4 linked regions of the Arabidopsis thaliana genome follow. The protein of the gene in region 1 interacts with the protein of each later gene in a biochemical or structural test. Each region holds a gene or a part of one and is shown on either strand. Other genes may lie near its edges.

Evidence for each region.
Region 2: the proteins of DCL1 (region 1) and HYL1 form a complex in vitro, tested with the Arabidopsis thaliana proteins (4 studies listed by BioGRID, with this or other methods).
Region 3: the proteins of DCL1 (region 1) and DRB2 interact in far-western blotting, tested with the Arabidopsis thaliana proteins (one study listed by BioGRID).
Region 4: the proteins of DCL1 (region 1) and DRB5 interact in far-western blotting, tested with the Arabidopsis thaliana proteins (one study listed by BioGRID).

What each region holds. Positions count from the first base shown.
Region 1 is NC_003070.9:20,726-28,019, forward strand, and holds the start of DCL1 (dicer-like 1), read left to right. Parts: upstream 1-2,690; 5' UTR 2,691-2,793; coding exon 2,794-3,726; intron 3,727-3,816; coding exon 3,817-3,930; intron 3,931-4,026; coding exon 4,027-4,237; intron 4,238-4,315; coding exon 4,316-4,710; intron 4,711-4,798; coding exon 4,799-5,018; intron 5,019-5,099; coding exon 5,100-5,272; intron 5,273-5,355; coding exon 5,356-5,478; intron 5,479-5,566; coding exon 5,567-5,727; intron 5,728-5,817; coding exon 5,818-6,051; intron 6,052-6,136; coding exon 6,137-6,287; intron 6,288-6,373; coding exon 6,374-6,556; intron 6,557-6,646; coding exon 6,647-6,811; intron 6,812-6,892; coding exon 6,893-6,988; intron 6,989-7,077; coding exon 7,078-7,294. UniProt on the Arabidopsis thaliana protein: Ribonuclease (RNase) III involved in RNA-mediated post-transcriptional gene silencing (PTGS). Functions in the microRNAs (miRNAs) biogenesis pathway by cleaving primary miRNAs (pri-miRNAs) and precursor miRNAs (pre-miRNAs).
Region 2 is NC_003070.9:3,135,302-3,142,982, forward strand, and holds HYL1 (dsRNA-binding domain-like superfamily protein), read right to left. Parts: upstream 5,053-7,681; 5' UTR 4,818-5,052; coding exon 4,793-4,817; intron 4,297-4,792; coding exon 4,034-4,296; intron 3,631-4,033; coding exon 2,659-3,630; 3' UTR 2,348-2,658; downstream 1-2,347. Other genes in the region: AT1G09680 (Pentatricopeptide repeat (PPR) superfamily protein), read right to left, coding at 1-629; AT1G09690 (Translation protein SH3-like family protein), read right to left, coding at 1,106-1,363, 1,893-2,129; AT1G09710 (Homeodomain-like superfamily protein), read left to right, coding at 5,818-5,897, 5,993-6,182, 6,444-6,530, 6,729-7,097, 7,629-7,681. UniProt on the Arabidopsis thaliana protein: Double-stranded RNA-binding protein involved in RNA-mediated post-transcriptional gene silencing (PTGS).
Region 3 is NC_003071.7:12,132,237-12,139,766, forward strand, and holds DRB2 (dsRNA-binding protein 2), read right to left. Parts: upstream 4,006-7,530; 5' UTR 3,680-4,005; coding exon 3,434-3,679; intron 3,037-3,433; coding exon 2,817-3,036; intron 2,701-2,816; coding exon 1,862-2,700; 3' UTR 1,496-1,861; downstream 1-1,495. Other genes in the region: AT2G28370 (Uncharacterized protein family (UPF0497)), read left to right, coding at 1-70, 797-929, 1,020-1,211. UniProt on the Arabidopsis thaliana protein: Binds double-stranded RNA. May be involved in RNA-mediated silencing.
Region 4 is NC_003076.8:16,434,850-16,441,690, reverse strand, and holds DRB5 (dsRNA-binding protein 5), read right to left. Parts: upstream 3,427-6,841; 5' UTR 3,245-3,426; intron 3,153-3,244; 5' UTR 3,145-3,152; coding exon 2,899-3,144; intron 2,805-2,898; coding exon 2,585-2,804; intron 2,491-2,584; coding exon 1,775-2,490; 3' UTR 1,636-1,774; downstream 1-1,635. Other genes in the region: AT5G41071 (uncharacterized protein), read right to left, coding at 1,440-1,622; AT5G41060 (DHHC-type zinc finger family protein), read right to left, coding at 4,151-4,591, 4,677-4,910, 4,998-5,288, 5,366-5,548, 6,006-6,089. UniProt on the Arabidopsis thaliana protein: Binds double-stranded RNA. May be involved in RNA-mediated silencing.

The sequences.
Region 1 (7,294 bases):
TTCATTTGAATTAATTTTGGTCGGTATGTGTATAATATTATACAATTATAATATATTTCTAGGTTTAGACATTTTTTTATTTTATTTTTCATGAAGTAAAGAACACAAACAAAAACCCATAAAATAATGTAAGATAGATAAAACAAGAGGATGTCGTCATAAATAAATTGGAATTTGGCATTTAATGAAAAAGGGTGAAAGGTGCTTGACATACACGCGCCGTAGTTTCTTACCCGGAAAGGGATTGGTATTGATGTTAACTAGACCGGGCCCGGTTTAGGCTGGGGCGGCGGCCGAACCGACCACCTGGCTACTATTCTTGTTTGTATTCGCTGATTCTGCAAATCTAAACTCGGATCTTTTATGGACTTGGATTTTCGGGTGGGTGGGGTTCTGCTAAAGAGACGGCGCTCTTGTCATTTTAAGTCGGTCACTGCAAAACGTGAACCCTGTGACTGTATTTAGAGTCTCGTTACGTTGGATCTCTCTCCATGAACCGTCCAAAGTAGGTCAATTTTTGTGGGTTCACTCACGTATACAACGAAGTACGGCGCTATTTAATTTTCCGAAAATTTTGAAAGAGACTTTTATACCAGAAAAGTTTGTAATCCAAATTTTTAATATATTGCAGATTTGGTTCGTTTTGGGCTTAAAGAGCTTTTATTGGTGTGGTGGCTCAAATCGTTTTTGTAGGCGTCAGGTCAGGCCCATTTTCAATGTCGCTTGCTCATTTGATACGCTAATATAGGGCTTTGCTTAAGATTTGAATGGGCCGTACCCCCATTTTGCTTCATGAGAATGGGATGGTAATAAAGAAAAAAATGACAGGAAACAATGAATTGGTCACGAAAAAATGTTGTATTACTTTTTCCAAAATGCACCTTTGAGAATCTTAAGATTCAATCATACAGTGAGGTCCATGTCCACAATAAGAAATCAAATACCAAACAAAGTATAAACGTGAATTGTAAGCTAGGCAGTGTATGAAGATGCATTTGTCTTAAAGTTACGAATCTGATAAATAATATTATTCGATCGACTTTAGATCGCTTTCCATGCAGATTTATGCAATTATCTGGAAGAAGAACAAAACAATATCTTAGTTTCTTCGGCCTCACTATTCGACTTCTATCTTCAATATATTTTCGCGTATTTTTTTATTTGAATTATTTGGTTTTTGGTTAGTTAACTAAACGAGCAACAGAACCAAGATCGAATTGCGTTTGCCGTTTGGATTCAATTATTGTAGAAAATTCGACTTTTCAGACATTTGTTACGTTCTTTCTAGTAGTTATATTAGTTATTATATGTGGAGTGGAAAGAGATGAAAGTAGATGTAAAACATAAGTGATTTCTTCATAGTGATTTTAAAACTTTTTGTTGATTTTCAAAATTATATAATATCCATAAAAAATAGCCTATGCGTGTTGGATGCTTACAAAGAAGAATTTGTTTTCGGCGTTAGCCAAAAGTCGATGGCATTTGCTAAAGGTGTTATTTGAGTGGAAATGATCTAGAACAAAAACGCATTGATATACCACCACTATAATGATTTGGAGACGTATCTAGTTCTCATCAACTTTTCAATAGTAAACGCATTATCAAGGTAAACGAAGAGTTTTGCTTTATCAGTGTACCATACACACATTAATAGATTGATGGACGTTAGTGACTTTGGTATTGACTTTAACGCCAAATGGACATCAATTCTGCAAGGCAATGCCTAGTTTCAAAGCAGCGTTACTTAACATTTAACTAAAGGTAGTGCAAACTGGTTAATACTTTTTAACGGCTTTGCAGGAAGAGTCTCGACTAAAAGGAGAGGAAGAGATGAGATCGACGAAGATTTTCATATCATAAAAAGTAATATAGGTTTTTGAAAATAGTTAGAATAATTATTTTTATTTTTATTTTTATGGGAAAGAAGTTGCACGAGTCGGTCCACAGAATGACAGAACAAAAGCATTTTAGAAGTTTAGAACCAACCAATCACTATAGTTTTCCACTTGTCCGTATCTCATTGGTTCATCGAATATTAACTTACATGGAAACAGTAAAAAGCGTGGAATAAGTCGTAAAACTGAAATCTAAAAATGAAAAGATTTCGATTTCGATATAAATACTTAATCTTTATAAAATAATATCGAAATCTTTTCATTTTTAGTTTTCAGTTTTACACTTTTACTTGATAAATTTAATACATCTGTTAATTTTTTTTCTTCTAAAATTAACATATGATATCTATTCGGGAGATAACCCTAAGAAAACTGATAAAATAAATAAGTTACTTTTTACAAAGTCGAATAAATTATTTACCCTTCTGCTTTAATGGCAATTATCTTAATATTGCAAAAAAAAAAAGAGAGAAATATTACTACAAAACAGAAGCAAGCAAGTGGAAAACAGACCAGAAGAGAGAGGAAGACGAAGAGAGAAACAGAACAGAGTAGGGATCGATAGACCGTGGAATCTCAGAATCACAAACACTTTGCAAAAGGGTTTTCAATTCCTATTTATTTACAAAGAAATCATCAATAGTAGTGGTCTCTAGGGTTTTGCTTGCTCTTCTTCGTGACCCCTTTTTACCTGCAAACAACAACTTCAAAATTGGCGTGTTTCGTACGGTCTATCTAACCCTAATCTGTCACAAAACACTCTTCTTCTCTCACCCCTTTTTCTGGGTTTATTCAATTCTCGTGCTTTTGGTTCTGTTTTCTTCTCTGGGGATTTGGTTTTCTTGAGTGAGTTTTTCTCCTCTTTCTTATGTTCTTGATTTGATTATTATATAGAATTATGGTAATGGAGGATGAGCCTAGAGAAGCCACAATAAAGCCTTCTTATTGGCTAGATGCTTGCGAGGACATCTCTTGTGATCTTATCGATGATCTCGTGTCTGAATTTGATCCTTCCTCTGTTGCTGTCAATGAATCCACTGATGAAAACGGCGTCATCAATGATTTTTTCGGTGGGATTGATCACATTTTAGATAGTATCAAGAACGGTGGAGGCTTACCAAACAATGGCGTTTCTGATACCAATTCTCAAATCAACGAGGTTACTGTAACTCCTCAGGTTATTGCTAAGGAGACAGTGAAGGAGAATGGGTTGCAAAAGAATGGCGGTAAGAGAGACGAATTCTCGAAAGAGGAAGGAGACAAGGATAGGAAGAGAGCTAGGGTTTGTAGTTATCAGAGTGAAAGGAGTAACCTTTCAGGTAGAGGGCATGTTAATAATTCTAGGGAGGGAGATAGGTTTATGAATAGGAAACGTACTCGTAATTGGGACGAGGCGGGTAACAATAAGAAGAAAAGGGAATGTAACAATTACAGAAGAGATGGTAGAGATAGAGAAGTTAGGGGTTATTGGGAGAGGGATAAAGTTGGTTCCAATGAGTTGGTTTATAGGTCAGGGACTTGGGAAGCTGATCATGAAAGAGATGTTAAGAAAGTGAGTGGTGGAAACCGCGAATGCGATGTCAAGGCAGAGGAGAACAAGAGTAAGCCTGAAGAACGTAAAGAGAAGGTTGTGGAAGAGCAAGCAAGGCGATACCAGTTGGATGTTCTTGAACAAGCTAAAGCGAAAAACACGATTGCTTTCCTTGAGACCGGTGCTGGAAAGACACTTATCGCGATTCTTCTTATTAAAAGTGTTCATAAGGATCTGATGAGCCAGAACAGAAAAATGCTCTCGGTGTTCTTGGTTCCCAAAGTGCCTTTGGTTTATCAGGTACCGCCTAATAAGAAACATGTTTGTATTCTTTTTTAAAAAATTGGTTACCTATTGGTTTTGGTTGGTTGATTTATCTTACGTTATCAGCAAGCAGAAGTGATCCGTAATCAAACTTGTTTTCAAGTTGGACATTATTGTGGTGAGATGGGACAGGACTTTTGGGATTCTCGAAGGTGGCAACGAGAGTTTGAGTCTAAGCAGGTTGCTTTTTGATGCTTCTTTTTCATACCAGCTTTGATCTTTTATATGAATCAGTTCTTGAAGTTAACGAGTTTTTTTCTATTTTCTTCTACGCAGGTTCTAGTTATGACAGCACAAATTCTGTTGAATATACTGAGACACAGTATCATTAGAATGGAAACAATTGATCTTCTTATTCTCGACGAGTGTCACCACGCTGTCAAGAAACATCCATACTCTTTAGTGATGTCAGAGTTTTACCATACAACTCCTAAAGATAAAAGACCTGCCATCTTTGGAATGACTGCTTCGCCTGTTAATTTAAAGGGTACTGATTGTTTCTTGTATACAGTTCTCTAAGCTTGCCAATGTTCTTGAAAGTGACACTTTTTGTTTGTAAACGTAGGTGTTTCAAGCCAAGTAGATTGTGCGATAAAGATACGTAACCTCGAGACCAAGTTGGATTCTACGGTTTGTACTATAAAAGATCGAAAAGAATTAGAGAAACATGTGCCTATGCCTTCAGAGATAGTCGTCGAGTATGACAAAGCTGCTACTATGTGGTCTCTTCATGAGACAATAAAGCAAATGATTGCAGCTGTTGAAGAAGCGGCACAAGCAAGTTCAAGGAAAAGCAAGTGGCAATTTATGGGGGCTAGGGATGCTGGAGCAAAGGATGAATTGAGACAGGTTTATGGCGTCTCTGAAAGAACGGAGAGCGATGGTGCTGCCAATTTGATTCATAAACTTAGAGCTATCAATTATACTCTTGCTGAATTGGGTCAATGGTGTGCTTACAAGGTAAAAAAACAACTTAGTAAATAGTTTTCGATAATTTGAAATGGATATGTTATTTTCATATGATATAATTTTTGTGTCTTCTTTCAAGGTGGGACAATCATTCTTGTCTGCTTTGCAAAGTGATGAGAGGGTGAATTTCCAAGTCGACGTGAAGTTTCAAGAATCATACCTCAGTGAGGTGGTGTCACTCTTGCAATGTGAGCTTCTGGAAGGCGCTGCTGCTGAAAAAGTCGCGGCGGAAGTTGGCAAACCAGAAAATGGTAATGCACATGACGAGATGGAGGAGGGAGAGCTCCCTGATGATCCTGGTAAGTATTAATCACATTCTTTGTCTAATCGCTTTTTACCGGTTTTAGAAATCCAATATTAACAGAGCTCTATGGTTTTAGTGGTCTCGGGAGGGGAGCACGTTGATGAAGTAATAGGCGCCGCAGTGGCTGATGGGAAAGTTACTCCAAAAGTACAATCATTGATCAAACTACTCCTCAAATATCAGCACACAGCTGATTTTCGAGCTATTGTTTTCGTTGAGAGGGTGGTTGCTGCTTTGGTTCTTCCTAAGGTTAGGATTAAAGTGAAAAAAACAATTTATTTTCTTGTGTATAATTTTTCTGCCTATGTCTCTCTGAGCCTGGAAATTTTCAGGTTTTTGCGGAGCTGCCTTCGCTTAGTTTTATACGGTGTGCCAGCATGATTGGACACAATAACAGCCAGGAGATGAAATCATCTCAAATGCAGGATACAATTTCCAAATTCCGAGATGGGCATGTATGATTTTTTTTGTCTTTCATTAAGACATATTTTTTTTTTATCTTATACTGAAATGTCTTACTATTTCCTCTTTCTACTGTGATAGGTGACACTGTTAGTTGCCACAAGCGTTGCTGAGGAAGGACTTGATATTAGGCAATGTAACGTTGTTATGCGTTTCGACCTTGCAAAGACGGTGCTGGCATACATTCAGTCTCGTGGCCGGGCAAGAAAGCCTGGATCAGACTACATACTCATGGTTGAGAGGTACATAAAAAGCTTTAAGAACTACATTTTGATTTTTGTAACTACTGGTCACCAAATCAGTACTGATATGTCAACTTGTGTTACTTGCAGAGGAAATGTATCTCACGCAGCGTTCCTAAGGAATGCTAGGAACAGTGAGGAGACACTTCGAAAAGAAGCAATAGAAAGGACTGATCTTAGTCATCTCAAAGATACATCGAGATTAATCTCAATTGATGCTGTGCCTGGTACAGTTTATAAGGTGGAGGCAACTGGTGCCATGGTTAGCTTGAATTCCGCGGTTGGTCTTGTACATTTCTACTGCTCTCAGCTTCCTGGTGACAGGTAAGTTTGCCGATAATTTTTATTGTCCTAATGACCTCTCCTTTTCCTGTATGAGATGATGGATTGCTTCTCTCTCGTGTCTCAGGTATGCAATCCTTCGTCCTGAGTTTAGCATGGAGAAGCATGAAAAGCCTGGGGGCCACACGGAATATTCATGTAGGCTTCAGCTTCCTTGCAATGCACCGTTTGAAATACTTGAGGGTCCTGTTTGCAGTTCAATGCGTCTTGCACAACAGGTGGACATAATAGTTTGTTTGTTTATCTTACTTGTTATTTTCTTTCAGTGTTCCATGTCTTGAAGTATTGCGTGTTTGATATGTAGGCTGTATGTTTAGCTGCTTGCAAGAAACTGCATGAGATGGGTGCATTTACCGATATGCTATTACCGGACAAAGGAAGTGGTCAAGACGCTGAGAAGGCTGACCAAGATGATGAAGGTGAGCCTGTTCCTGGAACTGCTAGACATAGAGAGTTCTATCCTGAAGGTGTGGCGGATGTACTTAAGGTAATATTAGCACTAACCTATGAAATTTTTGCTAAATGTGCTTTTAGAGGAATGTGGTTTTCAATATTTGACTGTTTATACCATGCACAGGGAGAATGGGTTTCATCTGGAAAGGAAGTTTGTGAGAGCTCAAAGCTATTCCATTTATACATGTATAATGTCAGATGTGTAGATTTTGGCTCTTCAAAAGATCCATTCCTAAGCGAAGTTTCAGAGTTCGCGATTCTTTTTGGCAATGAGCTGGATGCAGAGGTTGTTGTTTCTCTCTCCATGGATTTGAGTATTAGAATTTGAAGATGTAACCATGGTTAACTAAGATTTGTTTTACTGTATCAGGTATTATCGATGTCTATGGATCTTTATGTTGCTCGGGCCATGATCACTAAAGCATCTCTTGCTTTCAAGGGATCACTTGATATTACAGAAAACCAGGTTAGACTGAACAACAACCTCTATTTTTCCTAACATTTATGTTTGCTTGAGAAACTTTTTATCTTATATTGGTGGCATTTCTTGTGCAGCTATCATCTCTAAAAAAGTTTCATGTGAGGTTAATGAGTATCGTGTTGGATGTTGATGTTGAACCCTCCACGACACCATGGGATCCTGCAAAGGCCTACCTGTTTGTCCCTGTTACTGACAATACGTCTATGGAACCCATAAAAGGGATCAACTGGGAATTGGTTGAAAAGATTACGAAAACCACAGCGTGGGACAACCCTCTTCAGAGAGCTCGTC
Region 2 (7,681 bases), 3.1 Mb from region 1:
TTGCCACAGCCACGAATTGGAACATCAAACCTATGCTTCCGAGATAGCCTAAAACATTGAATAGCATCGGGTATGAAACCTAGATCCGTGTACGTGATCATCAAAGCATCAACAAGGAAACCACACATAGGTGTTACTCTCATTTCTACCAAAGAAATGAAAACTGAAGAAGCTGAGTTTTTGCCTTTACGAGAGACGACGAGCTCGATAAGTGACTGTGCTTCGGTGAACATTTCGTGAACAGCAAGAAAACGAGCCAAGACGAAGTAAGTCTCAACGGTAAAACGAAATCCAGGCTGAGATGAGATGAATTTGAAGAAAGCGAAGATAGAACGTTGTGGGAGGGAGAGAGGGTTATGGTTGATGAGATCAACCACATGATGAACGCTGAGCGAAGGCAGGACCTTTCTGATAGAGGGGCAGTCAGTGAACGAAGAGAACTCCAACGGCGGATCCTTGTAAGAATCTCTGATGGCAACTGAGAGTTTAACAAGAACTGGGTCATCGTCGTTGTCTGCCGCGGAGACAGATTCTTGAGAGTACCATGTTGACAAGAGGAATGATGCACGAGAGAATCTCTGTGGGTGAGATTGAGAGAGTGTGCATCTTAGAATTTCGATTCTGAACATCTCTGAGACTCTGACTCTCAATTTCTCCGGAACCGGCTATTTCCAGTGAGTAGGCAGTGACTTTTGAATGAAAAGTCGGGTTCTTAATGAGTAACCGGACTTCTGCGAAGCTGGTTCGTTTTGGTTAGCGTTTAATTTTCCGGTTCAATGCGTTATTATTTCGAATTGAATCGAGGAAGACTGTAACAGAAAGGCACTTGGCAACATCGACTAGGTTATATTGTAAGATGCTATAATTAGAAGGAAAATGTCTCCTTAAATAATCTCGAAAATTTGTTCACCAAAGAATTTGACTAATCACTAAATAAAGATGTTAAATGTAAGTAACAGAAGAGATAATGAAAATGATAGTTATAAACGAGATAAAAAGATCTGTTTCATAAAATATCTGGAGATTCTACAGAAATTGTAGCTAAGACACATGAAGAGAAACTCAAATACGGAAGCAACAACTGCAAAACACTGGGAAGATAGAACTAATAGCCTCCCTTGAGATCGTTGACGACATCGTACGGGATTGGAGTGACAGTCTCCAAGGTCATTCCTTCGACCATGAATCCTGGTTTGGGTCCTTTAGGCTGTCTCTTGGTGCTGATGGTCTCACCATTGGCTTTGGCTGCAGCCTTGAGCTCATCATTCTTCTTCTTCCTCAGCTTGAACTCCTCAGCACATCTTGATTGCTGCACATGCTCCACACGCACATGAATCCTCTTCCTTATGATCCTGTTGCCAATCTGAAACACCCCCAACATGTGTCAGTCATAATACCCAATATAAGTAGTACTAGCAAAAAGATTTGTGTTATTGTCATAGGATAATCCATAATCCATATTACACAGTAACATCTATAGAGAGACTTATAAAAACAAGATGAGTAAAAAAGGCCAAAGTTTAACAATTAAATAGTCATGAAAGAAAACACACTAGCAGTTTAATGAACACGAGTTGAAGTATTGAATAACTGGGAACATATGAACACTGCGTGCTAAGGCTAAAGACTAAACGAGACCAAAGCAATCAACTTTCAAATCTGAAACAGGATCACGAACCACGCTACTGCATAATAGAAGATAACATCTTTGAGCTAAAACTCAAAATCTGAGCTCAATTGTAGCATAGAAGAAGATTTACATTCCACAAACCTATACTCAATCACACATTTCTACATCAAAGCAATAGATCAACAATCCAAATAGCACACTAAGAAGCTCAAATCCTAATTCAATGACACAAAAGCTGAAGAGATAGGAGAGTTCATCAGACCTGTTTGTTGACTTCAACACCGACGGCGCGTTTAGTGACGTTCCAGATACGACCAGTACGACCGTGGTAGAACTTGTGAGGCATACCCTTGTGGATCGCACCATTCACCTTCACATCGACGTAATCGCCGACCTTGAAGGTTCTCAGGTAAGTCGAGAGTGGAATGTAACCCTTCTTCCTGAATGGCCTCGCGAACAGATCCCTCGTTCTCGCCCGAACTCCATGACCCGCTGGCATTTTTCCTCCTCGTGCGACAACTAAAACCCTAGATCGCCGAAGAAATGAAATGAGGAAGGCAGAGTGTATTTATATCTCTGTTTTGAGATTAGGGTTTCGTAAACGGACCTGTTGGGTCAGCAAGTTGGGCTTCTGTTTTTTAGAACCAGCCCACAAATAATCAAGAGTGAGGGTAATGAACCTTCTATTGGACTTTTGTTTTTTAGAACCAGCCCACAAATAATGAAGAGTGAGGGTAATGGACCTTCTGTTGGGTTTGTGTTTTTATAACCGGCCCACAAATAATGAAGTTTGAGAGTAATTTTCATTTATATGTAGATATGAAGCTTCTGTTTTGCAACCCCACATTACTTTATTCGAATGACTCAATCGACCACCAAATTGTACCAATCATATTAGTTTTGATTTTCCGCTCAAATATTACTTCTCTTCAATCTGTGAATTACTACTAGACTAGATAGGAATCACAAAATGGCTACGTAACCATATAGTAACTATGACAAACTCACAAGACTCCATCTTGACACTGTTATGCGTGGCTTGCTTCTGTCTCCACACTCCCAAATGCTGCCTCCTTTAACCCGCTCATGCATGAAGAAGATTCCAGATTTGGCGTTGTCTCAATTTTCTCTGTCTCCACACTCCCAAATGCTGCCTCCTTTAACCCGTTCATGCATGAAGGAGGTTCCAGATTTGGCGTTGTCTCAATTTTCTCTGTCTCCACACTCCCAAATGCTGCCTCCTTTAACCCGTTCATGCATGAAGAAGGTTCCAGATTTGGCGTTGTCTCAATTTTCTCTGTCTCCACACTCCCAAATGCTGCCTCCTTTAACCCGTTCATGCATGAAGGAGGTTCCAGATTTGGCGTTGTCTCAATTTTCTCTGTCTCCACACTCCCAAATGCTGCCTCCTTTAACCCGTTCATGCATGAAGGAGGTTCCAGATTTGGCGTTGTCTCAATTTTCTCTGTCTCCACACTCCCAAATGCTGCCTCCTTTAACCCGTTCATGCATGAAGAAGGTTCCAGATTTGGCGTTGTCTCAATTTTCTCTGACTGATCGTTTTGACAATGATCAGTAGGTTGAGGAGGGATGATAATATCTTCAGGATTTTTAGCTACTGTGCGTTTTCCTTTCTGAGCTTTCTTCTTGAACTGAGCCTTCCTGGCTTTAAGAGTCTTGACGGTTTCTTTAAGCGGGATAGCTGCCTGTATTGTCTTCTTCTCACAAGGAAGTACAGTAAGCTGAGTGTTGTAGTTGGCAAGGTTGTTTTTAGTGTCTGACTGGATCGCTAAAAGAGCAGTTCTCCCAGCGCTAATCTCAGCATCTTTTTTAGTTCTTGTTGCAGCTCCTGTGTACTTTATGCCTCCAATCTCTACAGTACATGTGAATTGTGTAACTCTCCCAAGAGTTTCGACCTTCTGGCACTGATACAATGGAATCGCGTAATTCATCTTTTGAGCGTATTCTTGAAGTAGGTTCTTGCATAATCCCGTTTCGTGCTGCATTAATAAGCCATTCAAAGTTAGACAAGAGCAATAACTTACAGAAACAGCCTAAGAATCTTCCCTCTAGAAGTTGGCAATACACATAAATCCGATAAGACAGAAGACACTTTATTAATGAGTGGATTCTTTAAACTCTTGAATCTCGATCATTGTCCAACCAAGAGCCTAGACAAATACAGAATGCCCCCTAACGTATTCTCACAGCTCCCCTTTAAACCTTCAACTCTGAAACTAACCATGAGCTTCCCTTTAAACCTTCAACGCTCAAACTAAGCATAAGGACTACTGCTGAGATGGCAAAGCTACAATTCGCTGCTAAACCCCTAGGCTAGGTTCAATAGTTTTGCAGTGAACTTAACAATAATCACGAGCGAAATAAGAAAGATGAGGTGCTTACAACAGGTTGTGAAACACATTGGCTTAGCTCACTGGATTTTGCTAATTCCCGGAGAGCAACCTCGGCAGCTGATTGCTCTGCAGCCTTACGATTGAAGAATCCAGGCAAAGAATTATATCTGACACCATCCAGTATCACAGTCGATTGAAATAAAGATTTGTGTGAAGGGCCTTCTTTAACGATCTCATAAACAGGCGTTGGGAGCTTGTACTTCTGAGCATACTCCTGCAACCGACTTTTGAAAACATAGCAATTGGAAACACCTGAGCAGGAAAAAAACTTCAAAATGAGGCAAAAGATAAAACAGAAACAGTGATGATGCTATCCACTACAGCATAAATTGCAAATAAACTCAAAACGACAACAGGGAACAGCAGTGAACGAGTTCTGAATAAAGCTGACGACTTTCACAAAGAAACTATACTTATCCAAAAGGGGAGAGACAGTTTTAAACCAAGCTTCTATGTTCCCTAACAAATTGAGTCAATAAATCATCATCTCAAAAGAGTAAACTTGCCAATTGCCAGAGAGATCTACGCTTAAACCCACAAGGGACAGATACACTTGTAAATTCTAACTAATCAAAACACTGCAATCCAATTTCCAAGAAGAAAGAAGTGAGTAAAGAACAGAAGAAAGGGGAAAAAGCATGATCTGGTTTCAAAATTAAAACCCGGAAAAAACAACCCATGAATGTTGAATTAGAGATAATGCAGACATGATGGTGAAGAAGAAGAAGAAGAAGAAGAAGTAATTCACCAGAGGAAACATCAGTGGAGGTCATTTTCACGAGCAGAATGTAGCTGAAGAGACGAATAATAGGTTAGTAGGGCACGGCGAAGAGCAAGAAAGAAACGTGCTGCTGCTGCGAAGAAGCAGAGAGAGAGAGATGATTCTTCTTCACCAAAAACCCTCTCCCCTCGACTTCCTCCTCTTTACTGATTTTTATTTTTGTTTTTTTTTCACAAGGGCAAACGAAAGAAGGTGGTTCTTAATTGTTATGTTACAAATGTTAATATTGAATTTAATTTCAAACCTTTATAAATTATATTATATTCCATAAATTTACCTTTTTGGTCAAATTTTCCATAAATATAATTTACTTGTGAATATTATATGAAAGCAAAATGTTTTTATCTTTGAAATATTTAATTTAATTAAAAAACTAATTACATATAGCCTAATTTCGTATTTCATATGTAGTTAACTAATGTATATATCCACAATTGATTAACCTTTTTATGGCTAACTTTATTCACTAGTAATCCCTTTGTTATATTCACACAGTTTTTGTATTCACAAATAATTAATTTGTTCTCCAAGTAAACATCAATAATGATAATAACCGTTTAATAAAAAATAAAAACAATTTGAGCCCATATTTGAGCCCACTTGAGCCTATGTCCCTTAACAGAAAAGAAAAATATTTGAGCCCATATTTGAGCCCACTTGATCCTATATCCCTTTACCAGAAAAGAAAAATATTTGAGCCCATACTTTTCGCTTCTGATAAGCGTAGAATAATAATAGTCGAATTTACCACCTTCCTTTTCGTTCCTTTTTTTTCTTCTCTCTTCCGAAACACCTCTGCCACGCGAGTACTCTCCACGCTCTTCGACAGTCGTGACCATCTTCTTCTCCGATCGTCTTCACCGGTTTTCTTGGGCATTCCCTCGTGCGTAAGTCTCTGTCGTTTCGTTTCGTCTATAACTCCCTCGGGTTTTGGTGAAATTTGATTCCTTTGTCCTGTTCTCTGCAGAATTGTTGCAATAAATACGACGAAGATGGTTGCTAATAATAATACTAGTAGCAATCGCAGGAAGAGAATCATTACTGAAGGCGACATCGCCACTCTTTTGCTGAGGTAAAAATATCTCCTTTTTTTGTTTTCTCTTTCCGAAAACGTTAGTGGATTTGGGTTTAGTCAGTGTGGCCGGGGTTTTTGATTTATTGACGCAGATATGATATGGAGACGATACTGAGAATGCTACAGGAGATATCTTATTGTTCCGAAACCAAGATGGACTGGAATGCGTTGGTGAAGAAGACCACTACCGGAATTACTAATGCTAGAGAGTACCAGTTGCTATGGCGTCATCTTTCTTATCGGCATCCTCTCCTCCCTGTGGAAGATGATGCTCTACCTCTGGTACTTATTCTGTCTCTCCTCTTTCCACTTTTGATGAATTGTAAAAGACTCAAGTTTATGTTGTAGAGTTAGTTAGTTTTCTTCAATAAAAACTCACTACTACTTTGTGTTATCAGTATCATCTAGAAGTGAGTGTGATGAAATACTAGTTTATGTTCTATGTGGCAGTGGATACTAAAACTTCTTGGTAGCATTAGGGATCGATGAGTGTCTCTCGCTGGTGTAGTTTACAGATTTTTTAAACGAAAGTTGCCTGTGCAGGACGACGATAGTGACATGGAGTGCGAATTGGAAGCTTCTCCTGCAGTCAGCCATGAAGCATCAGTGGAGGCTATTGCACATGTCAAAGTAAGAACGGAATCATAGATTTCATTCCCTTGACAGAATTTCAGAATCTGAAGTCCCTAGGCTCTATTCAGGATAACACCTTGCTGTTTTCTTAATGATTAGTGTGTTGGTTACTTGTTCTGCATATCAATCTGTGCTTATCCAGAGTTCCCATTTTATCCAAATATCATTAAGTTTTCGTTTCTCTTGTATTCCCAGGTGATGGCTGCTTCATATGTTCTAAGTGAGTCTGATATACTCGACGATTCAACAGTTGAGGCTCCCTTGACTATAAACATACCTTATGCTTTGCCTGAGGGTTCTCAGGAACCATCAGAGTCTCCTTGGTCGTCAAGAGGGATGAATATCAACTTTCCGGTCTGTCTTCAGAAAGTTACATCTACCGAGGGGATGAATGGAAATGGTTCAGCTGGTATTAGCATGGCTTTTCGGAGGAAAAGGAAAAGATGGTCTGCTGAGGAGGATGAGGAGCTGTTCGCCGCTGTAAAGCGATGTGGTGAAGGGAACTGGGCTCATATTGTTAAGGGAGACTTTAGAGGAGAGAGAACCGCCTCCCAACTCTCGCAGGTTGTGATTTCTCTTATTCAATATTGACTGCTCTTTTTTCATTAGTTTCTTTGAAGTCATTTTGTAGTGTATCTTATAGTCTTGTTCTTTGTATTACAACCTGTTTATGCATCATTATCTATATTCTGTTGACGATGAATGGTGGATATTACCTTCCCTCTTTCGTGTTGTTGGAGGTGGTGGCTCTTTACAGACGAAGTACCACTTTGGTAATTACTCTAGAAATATATCTGTTGTCATCTAGTCTGGTATGGACGTGGGGTTTTTCCCCATTTTTCCGGGTTCGAATCCCGGCAACAGATTCTTTGGATGATATGAGTAATAGTCTTTTGGCAATCATAGAAGGTAGCTAATAAGACTAATAAGACTAAGTTTTATGATATTTGTATCCATCTTTGTATTTTTTACGCATATACTTTCCATCTGATAAAACTTAACAATACTTTAGCTACTTGGACGAGCATGGGACATTTTGCAATTGCTTACTCTTTTTCCGTTATTGGTGGTAACAACTGACTATTTTCTTTGTAGAGGTGGGCGCTTATAAGAAAAAGGTGTCACACTTCGACCTCTGTTAGCCAATG
Region 3 (7,530 bases), on another chromosome or scaffold:
TCTTGTTTGCTGCTGCTGCTCTTTGTGTCATGGCTTCTACTAGTGATTTTCCTTCCGTTACCGCCTTCTGGTAAGACTTTGGTCTATTAGAAATCGAATATATGCTTTACTATAAACTTCTGTGAGAATCTGTATTTATCAGAATCGGATGTGATAGCACCCTATCTTTCTTCCAATATGCTATACACTATGAACTGGAATCTGCTTTTTGTTGTTTCCATTTCCGAAAGTGCAATACAAAATAAGCATCGGGTTTGTGGCTTAATATGATAAGTTATGAGGCTTGCTAGTCTATTAGTATCTTTAAGGCTTATTAGAAGCTAGTTAACAGCTGTGTATAGGGGATTTTATTACTGGTGCCCAGTAATATGATGTAGCTGCTAATCCGGGATATATCATGGTCATAAAGATCATTTTAACTAGATGAGCTTTCTTCGAGAAGTTAATGTTGATAAAATGGCTATCATATCATGTTTTTCATTTGGTCACTGTTGTTTAATTTGGTTATTAATCATGCTTTGCATCATGGTGTCTGGTAGTGGTTACTTAGGTAAGTTTGCCTTAGTGACAGGCACTGGTGTACTTTGTATGTAGGTCTCCTGTTGCAAATTTTCTAGAGTCCAGATGAATGAATCTTTGTAGTAGCAGTGTTAAGCTGTGGACATAATGTGATAGTTGAACCGATTGTACGGGATGGGTAGTATATTGGGTTAAACCTTTATGCTTTTATGTGATTAAACCATGTTTGGTGACTGTTAGAATCTGCTAAGATGGTTTACTGTATTTGATTCATCAGCTACCTAGTTGCAGCTACTGGTCTGCAGAGCTTGTGGAGTCTTGCACTAGCCATGGTTGACGTCTATGCCATTATGGTCAAACGCTCTCTACAGAACCGTCGACTTGTGAGCTTGTTTGCAATTGGTGATGGGGTAAGAGATTTACCATTTAGCCTCTCAATTTAATAAAATCGTATGAGAAAAGAGATGTGTACAAATAAGCATTTTTCAACATTATTTCAGGTGACATCGACGCTGACTTTTGCAGCAGCTTGTGCATCGGCAGGCATAACGGTTCTAATAGACAACGATCTGAATAGCTGCGCACAAAACCACTGTGTTCAGTTTGAAACATCAACGGCATTAGCTTTCATAAGCTGGTTCGCTGCTTTGCCTTCGTTTCTCTTCAATTTCTGGTCTCTTGCATCCCGTTGACACGATACTGCTCAGCAAGATGTGTTTTCATGGTGTGTTTTTCGGTGTATAGTGACTGATTTTTCTTCTTCTTTCTTGTTTTGGGTTTGGAACCAACTTTCTTCAAACCCAATACTTGGAAACTGGGAATTGTTTTGTAGACGACGACCTTATTCATTTTGTTGTACAATGAAACTATCTGGTCGGCTTTGTTGTATGATTGAAGAAATTTCAGATGTTGAATGCATTATTATGATATGTTGACTGAATTGCAAAAACTATATTGTATAAAACATATGGCTCGTGTGCTGAAATATTTTGACTGAATTTGTTAGCTAAAGGAGAAATTCGAAGTTCCAAAGACTCATTGAGATATGTGTCATAGCTGTCGTGTAAGACAAAGAGCTTGATTCTGCTGGAACAACGATAGGTAACAGATTTATAAAAGATGAGAAAAAGGACACAAACAAACTGAATAGGAAGCGAAACTGATACAATTCTACAATCCAGAGATGGCCAGGTTCTTCCCAAAACTCCCCAATATAATACAAATCTTTCGGATTATCAAACTACTCGATCCACCGAGTATAATAACGAACGAGATTACTAATGTAACAATTTTCAGAAACCAACCTCAAAAAAAACTAAACCCAGAGACAGTCTTCAAGGCATCAGATCTTTAGGTTCTCCAGTCGCTCTCTTGCTGTCTCCGGTTCTCCTTTCGATGAATCCTTAAACTCTGCTCTCTCGGTTTCCTTTGACGCTGTTTTCTCACAATCTGTAATTGTTATAGTACTTCCTTCTACTCCAATTTCAAGACTATCAGGCAAGACTGGTATACTCTCCTTTTCTTGGACTGATGATATGCGGGTTTCTCCTGCCTCAACTGTGGGCTTCACAGCGGTTCTAATTCTAACCGGTGGCGCAGAAGCAAATACGGGCACCGCGGTTCTGATTGTGACAGGCGGCGCGATCCTCACAGGTGGTGCAGTTCGCATCAGCGATGGGACATACACAGAAGAAGGTAGCTGAGTGTTGTTTGTACATGGTGGAGGAGGCATTGGAGGTGCAGAGAAGACCGGTACAGCGGTTCTGATTGTGACAGGTGGAGCCATCCCATGGCATTGCGATCTAAATTGCCTCATAGGAACATAAGGCGGATTTGCAAATCTCTGCTGAGGCCGCTGGTAGCTGCGGCTTTCCAAGGCTGCTGCCATAATTCTGTCAATACCGGAAGTTGCTGCTAAGGATGATCTGCTGCTTCTGGAAGGTTGTTTTGGGCAAATAAAGGGTAAGATTCTCGATGTGGTTGCAGGAGAAGGCTGTGGACTTGTTGGTCTAAGGTTCTGCATAAAGAACTTCTTTGCAAATGGAACTGGGGCACTCGAGGAGCTTCCTGTGCCAATGTTTTCCTTGATACGATAGTTTATCAAAGCTCTTGCTATAATCACCTGTTCTAGTTCGTCAATGTTCTCAGGCTCAGGCATTGAACTTGATGTTTCTTTTGCCACTGTTACCAAGAAGAACATAAAAAACATCAAACCATGTAAGCAGAGTTACATTTGATCAACGCCTGCGTTAAACTAAAACCATATCAAAACTGACAAAATCAGAATTAGGACTCACATTGTTTTAGGGAAGACCAAGCAGCCATTGCAGCATTCTTCTCTGCTTGCTTCTTGTTCTTAGCTGGATCTCCAGTGAACGTAATTCCAGCCAATTCTACAGTACCAGTAAACACAGGTTGGTGACCAAGACCTGACCTGAAAGTAGTATATCGCGGTAAAGGAGCTCCCACTCTTTGAGCTATCTCTTGCAAAAGATTCTTATACACACCCGTCTCATCCTACACAAACCATAATCCAAAAGAACAGAGCCAAGAAAAGTATCATCAGTCATGCAACAAGCAAAACATCAGAAGTAAACATGCATCCAAAATCACAAAAGTTATTTGTTCTACTCATTTAAGTCCCAAACCAATCAATGGGTAAGAACAAGATTCAAACTTTGGATCCATAGATCAGTGAATGTGAAGATCACTCTCTCTAATCAGACAACCCAGAAACCCAAATCCCTAAAAAGCAAGTCAGAGATCTCAGCACCGACCCTAATAAGTAAAAACCTAACCACAAACTAAACCCATCAGTGACCTAAAGCACCTAAAACAACATGCAAATTCAGCATTCAAAGCTCACAATTTTCCAAGTAAAATGCCAAAGAGAGTAAGAGGAAGCGAAACAAACCAAGATCCTGGCGGCAAGAGAGTGAGAAGGACCACGATTAGAGAGAGCATTGAGAGCAACTTCAGCAGCAGAGTGTTCAGCTTGACGAAGAGTAGAACAATACTGAGGACTCTCAAAGATCTCGCCGTTAAAGTTAACAGTAGCCTTGAATCGCGGCGCGTGGTCAGGACCTTCCCTAATACAAGTATACGAAGGAAGATTAAAGCAGCTCCTCTGAGCCAACTCTTGTAGCTGGTTCTTATACATTTCGAAAACCAAATTTACCAAACAAAGAAAGAAACTCCGATTTCGGAGAGATCAAAGCTTTGGTTTTTAGGGCTTTTTCTTCATCGCTAAGGCTCTGTATCTTCGAATCATGGAAAATCGTTGGAGGGTTTAGCTTGGGGAGTGATTAAGAGGCTAAGTTGGGGTGTGAAGGAGATTGAAGATGGTGAAATCGGAGGAAATTTAGGGTTTTTGCAGAGAGAGATAGAGAGAGGAAGAGAGGGAGGAGCAAGAGAGAGAGAGAGTGTGGGGTTTTTGCTTTAATGGAAAAAATAAAATAAAATTAAATGTGAGAATTAATTATCTGCTTTTATCGCTGCTAGTCAACTGAACGTTAGCCTGCATGGATGTGATATTTTTATATTTCCTTTTTATACTATACTAATTTTGTATGTATCTTAATTTATGGATTTAAAAAACAAAAAAAAACATTTAACTATAATCCACCACTATTGTAAGCTTTATAATTTGAATTTTCATAAAACATAAGATTAAATATATATTGAACAATTTGTATAATTGTAAGGTATGAAAAAAATAAGTCTATTTGAATAAACAGGTTAATTCTAGTTTATTAAGTTTTGTTAACGTTTGTAATAACAGAGAAGAAGTTAAAAGAGAATTATGGAAAGAACGAAACGGCAGAATCTATAACAACACTCATCGAAACGGTCGAAGTTATAACAACACTCGTCAAAACGGTTTAACTTTCTTGTTTTTGGCGAAAAAAACAATATGTTTAGTATTTTTAACTTGTTCTAATCATGTGTAGCTAGTTAAACAATGTGTAATCCATGCGACTTCTCAGTTTAACGTTAACTCGTAATTTGAAATCTCGGTCAAAAGAAACAAAAAATTGAAAAATCCGCACAAGTTCCATCATCAACTATGTATAATAGATACATTTTGAATTTGTGAAAAAAAATCATAAACTTTTTTTGGAGAAAACGAAACCGTAAAGTCTATAATAACACTTAGGAAACGGCTGAATACATAAAACACCAAAAAAAAAGACAATTTTGGTTGTCAAATCTTTTTTGGTCATCACATGATTCACATCTACTCCGATCAATTTTTATATTTTTAATACTTACCAAATCTTCTCTATTTTTTTTTTAGCATTCAACTATCTATGAATTGTGAAATAACTGCTTTTACCATTTGAAACAAAAGTTTCTAATTTTGATCTATCCAACCCACATACGTTTTTGATAGGCTACAACCTTGGTTCCATGAAACTTCAATCTCATGGCTGTTCCTCCTTTTTTCACTATAAAGTTGGGTTTAACTTGTTTCTATGTTGAATCTTTTGTTTATTTGTGCGGTCTCCAATTTTGATCTACCACATTGATTCATTTTAGTTTTATAAAAAATAATTGGTTAAAGAAAATAATAGTAAGTTTCTCTAAAAAAAATTAACAAAATTTCATAGATGTGTTTCTAGTATAATTTTTCTTATATATCAATAGTGTGATCTATATGCTTTTCTTCAATAGTAGAAGTTAAATAAAATATTTCATCAAAACAAATAAAAATATGTTCGACTGATGTATAATTTTAACTTAATCATAGAATTAGTGGGAAGTCTGAAGTCGTATTCTAATAAAAAGGAATATGAAAATGGAAAGAAAAGAAAAAACAAAATACTAGAAAACAGCTTGAAACCTAAGAAGTTAGTGCGTACTTTATTTTCATATATTAAAACTTAATGTTCACACATCTCTAAAGAATAATTTAGCTTTTGATGAATTTTGAAACCATGTCCACACAAGTCAATGGGTAGAGAGAGAGAGGAGGAACAAATGTGAAATCATGAAATTACCAAAATGCTTATTACGTTTAGAGAGAGATAAGGGGCATTATCGTAATAAACGCTGTGAGTGATTTGCAGTAGTAAAAGGTGGAATTCATAATCATAGTTAAGCTTAGTGGCCAACATTTACTTTTATATTTGTTTTCGTTTTTCTATTTCAATCTCCCGAAGTTGATGAAGTTTGACTGATCCATCACATAACCACATAAATTTGTACTAACTAGTTTTCTTTTTTCTTGCGACTTATATTAACTCATTTAACCACATGAAAAGTTTCATTATATGCACATAATATTGTTTGTACTAACAGAAAGCTAGAATAAATTGTTTGTACTGAAACTTAGTATATTATATCGTATTCGATAGTAATAATAGATATCATTAAACTACAAATTGTGAGTAGTTAGATTATAAAGAACAATGTTGTTAATAATATGTGTAATATTTACTATTGCCATTACGTTTTAAGATGCAAATGTGACAACAAACGGATAATAAAAAGGAATAATAGGAAGAAATAAATATCCAAATGAATGTCCAATGCGAACCCCAACGATTTTAAGGACATAAAGATGGAAGAAAACGAGAGGAATACTCTCCCTTGGTCACCATTTCCTTACCTATTTAATGACGAATTAATTTACAAAGTAATTAATGTGTAACTATAAACTTCGTAATTAAATACATTTACTTCGGGGTCATAATATTTTAAGCAGGTGCATTTAAGCAGAGCATTTAATTAGAAGCATTGTATTAATCCCTTGTTCATCCGTAATGTCTTGAGAAGATAAAACAAATTCAGATTTTGTCTGAAGAGGCATTATTAATCTGGATTTCTTGGATTCGCTTAAGAGTTTAAGTCATAAGATATCTAAAACAATAATAGCATACCATTAAAGAACTTGTCAAATATGGTAATGAACTAACCACTGACTGCATAGGCCAGTGAGTTTAGTAACCATGAAAATACATCACTCTGTAAAACTTAAAAGTTAAAAACTAATTATACTCCCTCTGTTTTATTATATTTGTAGTTTAAGGAACTTTTTTTTCTTTCAAAATAAGTGTTCTTTTTATTTTTCTATGCAAAAGTAAATATATTTAATAATTTTTGGTCAATTCTATTTTACATCCTATTTTCTTATTGGTTCAATTAGGTGTAGTTAATGATGTATTTATAGAAAATAGATAAATTAAATGAGAATCTTGTGTTTTTTTAATCTGTGTAAAAAAACTTTAAACTACAAACATAGTGAAATAGAGGAAGTAACCATTAATAAATATTTTCTAGAATTGAATTATGGCTCCAATGAATAACACATACTGGCGTTTTTGATGCGATTATGCAAGAATTTAACCAAGAAAGAAATTTGCATAATACTTATCTTAACACAAAATTTGCATAATAGTACTTATCTAAACACATGACAGCCTTTTCATCTAAAAAAATAGTACAAATTCAATATGTAAATAAGTGGATATATAGTTGATTATTTCATCATGTATTTTTCGTTATGCGGAATTTTGTTATGCGACTGATGTCATTATGCAACTATGCGACTGATGTCATTAAGCATATAAGAAGTATTGCTTAAAGTTAAAAAAAAAAAAAAAAATCACATATACACATGATAATTGTCTTGCACATAGGCACATAGCCCAAATTATCATGTAGTAAGTAAAAAATTATCTTTTAAAAGGAATACAAACTTTTTTATTTTGTAATTTGAGAATAAATGAAAAATTAGAAATAAAATAATTAGGAAGGAGCACCACAGTGATGGGCATTTAAACTAAAACCACACAACAAGTAACAACCAACTCTCGTCTCCATCCTTCCATCAAAACCTTAATATTATTGCTCACTTTTCAAATAGTTTCAATTTTTGTCTACATCATCTCAATTTTGACTATTCAAGCTAATTAATAACAATAAAGGCAATGAAATAGCTTTCTCTCAAGGGTTTCTGGGTACAATTACATTATTGCCTTATTAAGGTGGGTGGTACTAGCACAATAT
Region 4 (6,841 bases), on another chromosome or scaffold:
ACGTCAGCAATGTGCCTTTCTTGATGGTTTCTTCCCGCCTTTTGAGGGATCTGGTACGAACACAGAAGAGTACGGTTCTCATCTTATACGTGGCATTGAGTCATTGGGAGATTATGTTATCTTTTCCACAGCTTAGTCATTGTCCCGTTAATTATGAAATTTTGGTTTTTTTCCAAACTTAGTGAATATATTATTGGTTTCATTTTAAAGATTCCTGCCTAAATATATATTAAAAAAAAATACAAATTTGAAATTTCAGACTCAAAAAACAACAACAAAAACCAAAATAACCTAAATTATTGTGGAACAAAATTTGTGAAAATAATACGTAAATTGTTCGAGATATATCTTGAAAAGTGCGTTTGACATAAAGGAAAATGTAGTTTCATTCAACTCCAAATATGTTTTACACGTTTTATTAATGGTTTGAAATATTGTAATGCAACACAACTGTATAGTTGGTCAAATTTGCAGCAATTAGACTAGTAAGCTTTTTAATTAAAATAAGATTTACTGAGTACTCATCCACGAAATCTGACGAGTGTAATTACGCAATAGAGAGTCAAAAAATAAAATTACGCAATATAGGAATAGAAATAATTTATTTATTCGATTCTCCAATATTTATGAACCGTGATTTGCAAGACACAAGATTTAAAACAAGATATTAAAGGTGATTTCAAGATCAATATAACTGTTAGTTTAATCAATTCTGAGTAAAAAAAGATTATATTAAATTCTGAGTTAAAAAAGATTATAATTTAAGCTTGATTTGCAAGTTGAGAATCCGTTAATAAATTGTGATCCATTTTTGGAAATTGTGCTTTTGAAAAAACCCATTTTTGGAAATCAAGTAAATATGGATTGCATTTTAAAAATATTGTATCCACGAAAATCTGACGTATAATAATGCAAGATATACCTGTCAAGATAATGAGAAAATTGATTTATGGTAGGTTCGTGGATCAGATCAGATCCAACAACATGTTAGCTTTCTTGCTACTTGGATCCACGTCATAAATTGTCAGACGATTAAAAAAATTTCCAAGCCGAACAAGTGGCTGGTTAACTCGTTACCTCCTGTCCGGTTGGGGTAATATGGTTAGGTAGGTCACTAGTTTTATGTTTCGGTTTGTTACGGCCCACGTAAAAGTTAGATGGCCCCAAATTAATGGACCGGCCCAAATAATTGAGAAGCAATCAAGTCTCGTGGTCTGACCAAAATAATTTCATCAAAGTCAAAATATACCAATTTGAATATTTGAGCAAAATCCTGAGTTCCTAACAACATAGATTATACGGATCTAAATCGGATAATGACACAAACGTCATTCTCGCAAACCATAATGTTTATATGGTCCAAAATCTTTACACAAAGAAAAATGTAACTTGTGAAATTTATAATTTCGAATTATTAAGTTTATTTGTTGGAACCGACGTTACAGAGCAAAACCATTAATGATGAAGAGTGGGAAGCAGAGCAGAGCATTCGGCGCATTAATGGAGGAAGACAAAACAAAACCCATTAATTGTTTTCTTGCAAACTCCCATTTCTCTTCTTCATCTTCTTCCCTAATTAATGCTCTCTCTTTGTTTTCGTTCTCTGTGCAATTCGCAAGCATTCAAAGTTCATGTCGGACTTTTAGAAAATTCAAACACTTCAAAAAAAACAAGAACACATTCAAGAAACGGAAACATACTGGTCTATAATTTATCTATGTGACAAACACTTGACAAGGATTTAATTTGAGATTAACCCATTAACCAAATTTAGCTAACTATCATGGGTTTGATCCAAAATTCTCGATTCTGAACCAAGTTTGATCATTTCGCGAGTTAGATTCTTCTTCTCTTGGCCTCCCAATCCCGGCGTATTCAGAACAGAGCAGGAATTATTGGATGAGGTGAATTCATTGACTGATGATGATAATGATGATGGGTTAAGGTTGGGGTTTGGTTTCGGTGGTGGAGCTGCGAAAACTGGAATCACTGATCTCATTTGAACCGCTGGAGCCAGACTATAAGGGTTTACGCTACACCCTCCGACAAAGTTGTATCTGTTCATGTCGGAAAAGGGCATTTGCTTACTCAATCTGGTTGATGTTTCATTGACTTTGGCTTTGCTGTTGATCATCTCTGTCGCTGTCTCTGTCTTAGCTTCTTGTGATGATCTGTCTTTGTATTGCTGGATAAATGGCAAAATTTTGGAGGATTTAGGTGGTGGTGGTGGGGGAATTAGAGAGATGAAACTGGAGTTTTTGTGTTGATTCGGTGTTGATGTTGATGATGATGAAGAAGCTTGATTGGTCAAAAGATTGATCCATCTCAATCTCTCAATCAACAAATCCTTGTTTGAATCTTGTTGACTTGTTCTTCTTCTCCATTGGTTTGTTGTCTCTCGTCTTCTTACTTCTTTGGGTTTAAATCTTGAGAGTACTCTTGCTACTGCTTCTTGTTCCTTCTCTTCATCTTGTGAATCCAAGCTTGACACTGCACAGTAGAGAAACAGAAAAATGGTTTCAAGTAGAAAAGTGAGAAGCTTTTTTGGGGTTGATGGAACAATTTGGAAGATAGTTATATATACTTTTCTTCAAAGAGGACCAAGCTGCAATGGCTGCGTTTTTCTCAGCTTGTTTCTTTGTCTTTGCTGATTCTCCTGTAAACGTCATCCCAGCAAGTTCAACAGTACAAGAGAAACCTGGGAAGTGACAAGATCCTGATCTCACACTTGTGTACATTGGTAGATCAAGACCAGCTCTATGTGCTGTCTCTTGAAGCAGGTTCTTGTAAATCCCTGTCTCATCCTTGTATAAAGAGTGACATGAAGATATACGATGTTACTCTTTTTGCATTTTTTTGTGTATGATCAAAACCAAGAAGAAAAGACAGAGAACTTACAAGAATCTTAGCAGTTAGAGACTTTGAAGGGACTCTAGACGAAAGGACATTAAGGGAAACTTCAGCAGCTGCATGCTCAGCTTGTCTGAGAGTAGAACAGTAAGTGGGACTCTCAAATATCTCACCATTGAAGTTAACAGAAGCTTTGAATCTTGGAGCATGATCTGGTCCTTCTCTTATGCAAGTATATGATGGTAAGTTGAAACAACTTCTCTGTGCAAGCTCTTGAAGCTGATTCTTATACATTTTTTCCCCTGTAAATACACCAAAATCAACCAAAGTCAACTCCAGAAACCACAAATCTCTTTTGGTAAAGTCTTAAGAGAAGACAAACGAAAAAGCCGACCTGTTGAAATTTGGTATCTTAAGTTTTGGCTATTTAGTGTTTGAAAGTAAGTTTAAAGAAGAGAGAGAGATAAAAAAGAAAGTTTTTGCAGAGGTTTTTGAACTCTTCACTCACATGGTAAGGTACTAAAGGTTCTAAATAAAGAGTAGAAGAGGATGCTAAAACAGTAATAGTGACATCTCAATTGAAATAAGGTTAGTCTTTTTATATAATTTATAACATGTGCATACAAATAACAATTATGAACAATGCTATTGACTCTCTTTATTGTCTTTGTCTATGATGTTTGACTGGTCAGTTACCTTCGTCCTCAGTTAATAACAGTTATTTTTTCATAAATGTTAGTGAAAATGATTTAGTCTGATACTTTGAGGCACTTATTAATGTTTAGTTTGACCAATTTGTTGATTATGTTCATTGTGTTTTGTCTTTGTTCAATGCCAAAAAAACTTTATATTATTGCTAATCTTCAATTTCCTAAACCAAAAATGTTGGCTTGTGATGTTAAATCTCTAACCTTTAGACTTTAGAGCTTTGAAGAACAAATAAGAAGCCTTTAGAGCTCTTTTGCATTTATTACAGAGCCGTGCTTCAATGAAGACTATAATAAGAGTTGTCTGGTCTTCTGGTCCACTTGTCTGAAAATTCAGTTTCTGCAATTTTTATCATATGCAAAGTACAGTATGAAAATCGTCGGTATTCATTTTGTTTTCTCATTCTGTGAAAGATAAGTCATAGATTACACTAACACACAATGATTTACGATTTAAATGTCTGAAGAACAACTAAAAATACTCATAACATCTGAAAATATCACACCAATTCACAATTGATTCCCGTGTAAACACACAACACATCAATACATCAAACATTTAAAACACCTTTCAATTTTCTCTTAACCTGCTTCTAAGCTCTTCTTGCTGATAAGGCCATAACTTCTGGTGACATTTCCCAGTTTGCGTTCCTCGGGTGATTGTTTGGCCTATTGATTTGCTCATCACCATTCACTATGTTCCCCATGTCTGGTGATAACTCGTTTAACTCATTGTCGTTAACATGAAACCGTTCATTGTTATTGCCATCTTTGCCATCACCATGTTCAGCCATTGCCCAAACACCCTTCCTCCCCATTTCAATATCATCATTGGCCTTTCCCATGTTTGGACTCATAAAACCGCCAACAACTGATCTCGACGGCATTGGATTTTCCCTTGGTACCATAGCCCTGAAGTTGTTCTTTGAAGGAGGTATTGGAGAAAAAAAGATTTCTTTGAAGTTATCAACCACTCCTTTGTTATGTGGGTTGCTATGCCGATCATAACTGTATCTGAAATTCTCATATGTAGTCTACAGAATAAAGAAAGATCAAACGATTAAACACGCATATCGAATGAGAGAGGTTTTTTCAGAAAGAGGCAAATGATTAGGGTACCTGATTTGTGCTGATGAGATAGAGATGGAAACATGTTAAGCCTCCAACGAAGAATGTAGATATGAATGTGTAGAGTATCAGAGCAATGGAAGCTGGAGTTTTGAGCATTGCTTTCAAGATACTTATATCTTCGGACTCTTTGATCTTCTTTATGTAGACACAACAAAAGGCGAACACATATACACAGAGAAGAGTCGTGGAGAAGACAAACATGAAGAAGAATCGATAGTTTCTCTGCAAATTCCCAAGGAGAATGAGATGAATTATATAGACTGATGTCAGAAACTAACGGACAGGAAAACGAAAAACCGAGAAACTTACTTGAGCAATACATTGACCAACCCAAGGACAGTGATGGTCAAACCTTTCTACACAGTTGTTGCAAATCGAACAATGTGAGCAGCGAGGCGGTCTATAGAGCATGCAAGTATCACAGTACTTGACCTTGAATACTTTTCCATTAACTTCCACTTCTTTAACACGAGGCAATCTTGGAGTTTGGCTTGTTCCCGAGCCCGTGTTGCCATCAACAACTTCTGGTTCTGGAGGATGAGAATTTCTTGGGATAATCCCTGGATCTCTTCCGGATGTAAGCATCAGCAAAATCAAATCCTGAGGGAAGCATTAATTGTTATGAATGATCCAGTCACAAAACGTTTTACAATGCAAAGCTAAACTTTTGTACTCACATAAATGGTGAAGACAACAGCAACAAGGATTATTGAGACTCCCCAACTATCAGAGAAGTCATCCATTAGTTTGCTAGCGACGAAGATGCAGAAAATTGTAACAGGTGCCACAATAAGACTTATGGTCAGACCAAGTGATCTTACATCCGGCCCGAAGATAAACCTTCCTTGAAGACAAAATATCTGCAGAAATGGGACAAATTTAGAAAATATGTTAACACTTTGGGTAGAAGGATTTAAGGAACAAACCTCAAAATGTTTAATTCCACTAGGTTACTACTAAACCAGATTTAAATTCGACATTGAAAGCAATATACAGACAGCATCAACTATATAACCTTTGTATGAAGAAGCATTCCTATAAATGTAGCAAGCATATTCAGATAATGTCCTAAGGTATTGATTAAAGGTAAAGATTTCATGATTAAATGTAGACAACTACCCAGAAAGCTACACTTCTAACACAAACCCAAGTCCCAATTTTTAAGCTTTACAAGATTGGAAACAGAGTAAACTGAGCCCATGAACGGATTAATAATTAATTTATACACAATAATAGGAAAAATAACAGAAAACTAGCTCAAGTATAAACACAGAAGCAAGTAATTCCAAAACCTAAAGCTTTCACATTAAAACTCACATTGCTTCCTTTCCATGTTTGGTAAACCCGTAAATCACAATCGGATCCAAAACCGGATCTTTGAGGAGGCGTCACCACATACATCTCTCTCTCTCACTTTCTATCGCTTGCTCTCGATTTCTTCAAATGTAAGCAAAGGGGAAAACACTAAAACGAAGATAACGAAAGAAGAAAAGAGAAAGCTTTTCAGTCTCCGTTGAAGAAATTCTTTAGATTTCGGCAAGTCTCCGACATGAAAATGAGAGTAGTCAGAGAATTAGATTTGCTCTTGGCTTCTCCAACTTCTTCTTCTTCCTTCACTTTTTTTTTTTCCTGCAAATAAATATAATATTTTAAAAATCGACTGTTAGCAGCTACTGGAGTCAGTCTGTCACCGTCGTTTTAGTTCAGGTAAAGTACTTTTCAGAAGCTAAAAGTGAAGAACGAAATAAGCTGACGTGGCACTTTTCTAATGGTCTGTTTCCTTACCTTGAGTACTCGACCTTGTTATTCATAAAAGAGATTCGATAACGGAAAAGAAATTTAAACATTTTGTTTTACAGCGAATTTACATCTAATTTTTTTTATCTCTATTGTTTTCCACTTTTTCTCAACTATTGATTTATATGTACCTGCAAAAAAAAACTACTGTATAAATTTCGTATGTTGAAGAAAATAATGTTAAAACTTAAAATAATTTGTGAAAGGAAAAAATAAAGTTGAAAATAGAAATGATTGGGAAACAACACATAAAGTGGATGGAGTCACCTAGAAGCATTACAAGAATTTAAGGGCAAAAGAAAAAAAGAAAAAAAAAATTAAAGTAAAATCTGCAGCAATCTTACATGAAGAACAAT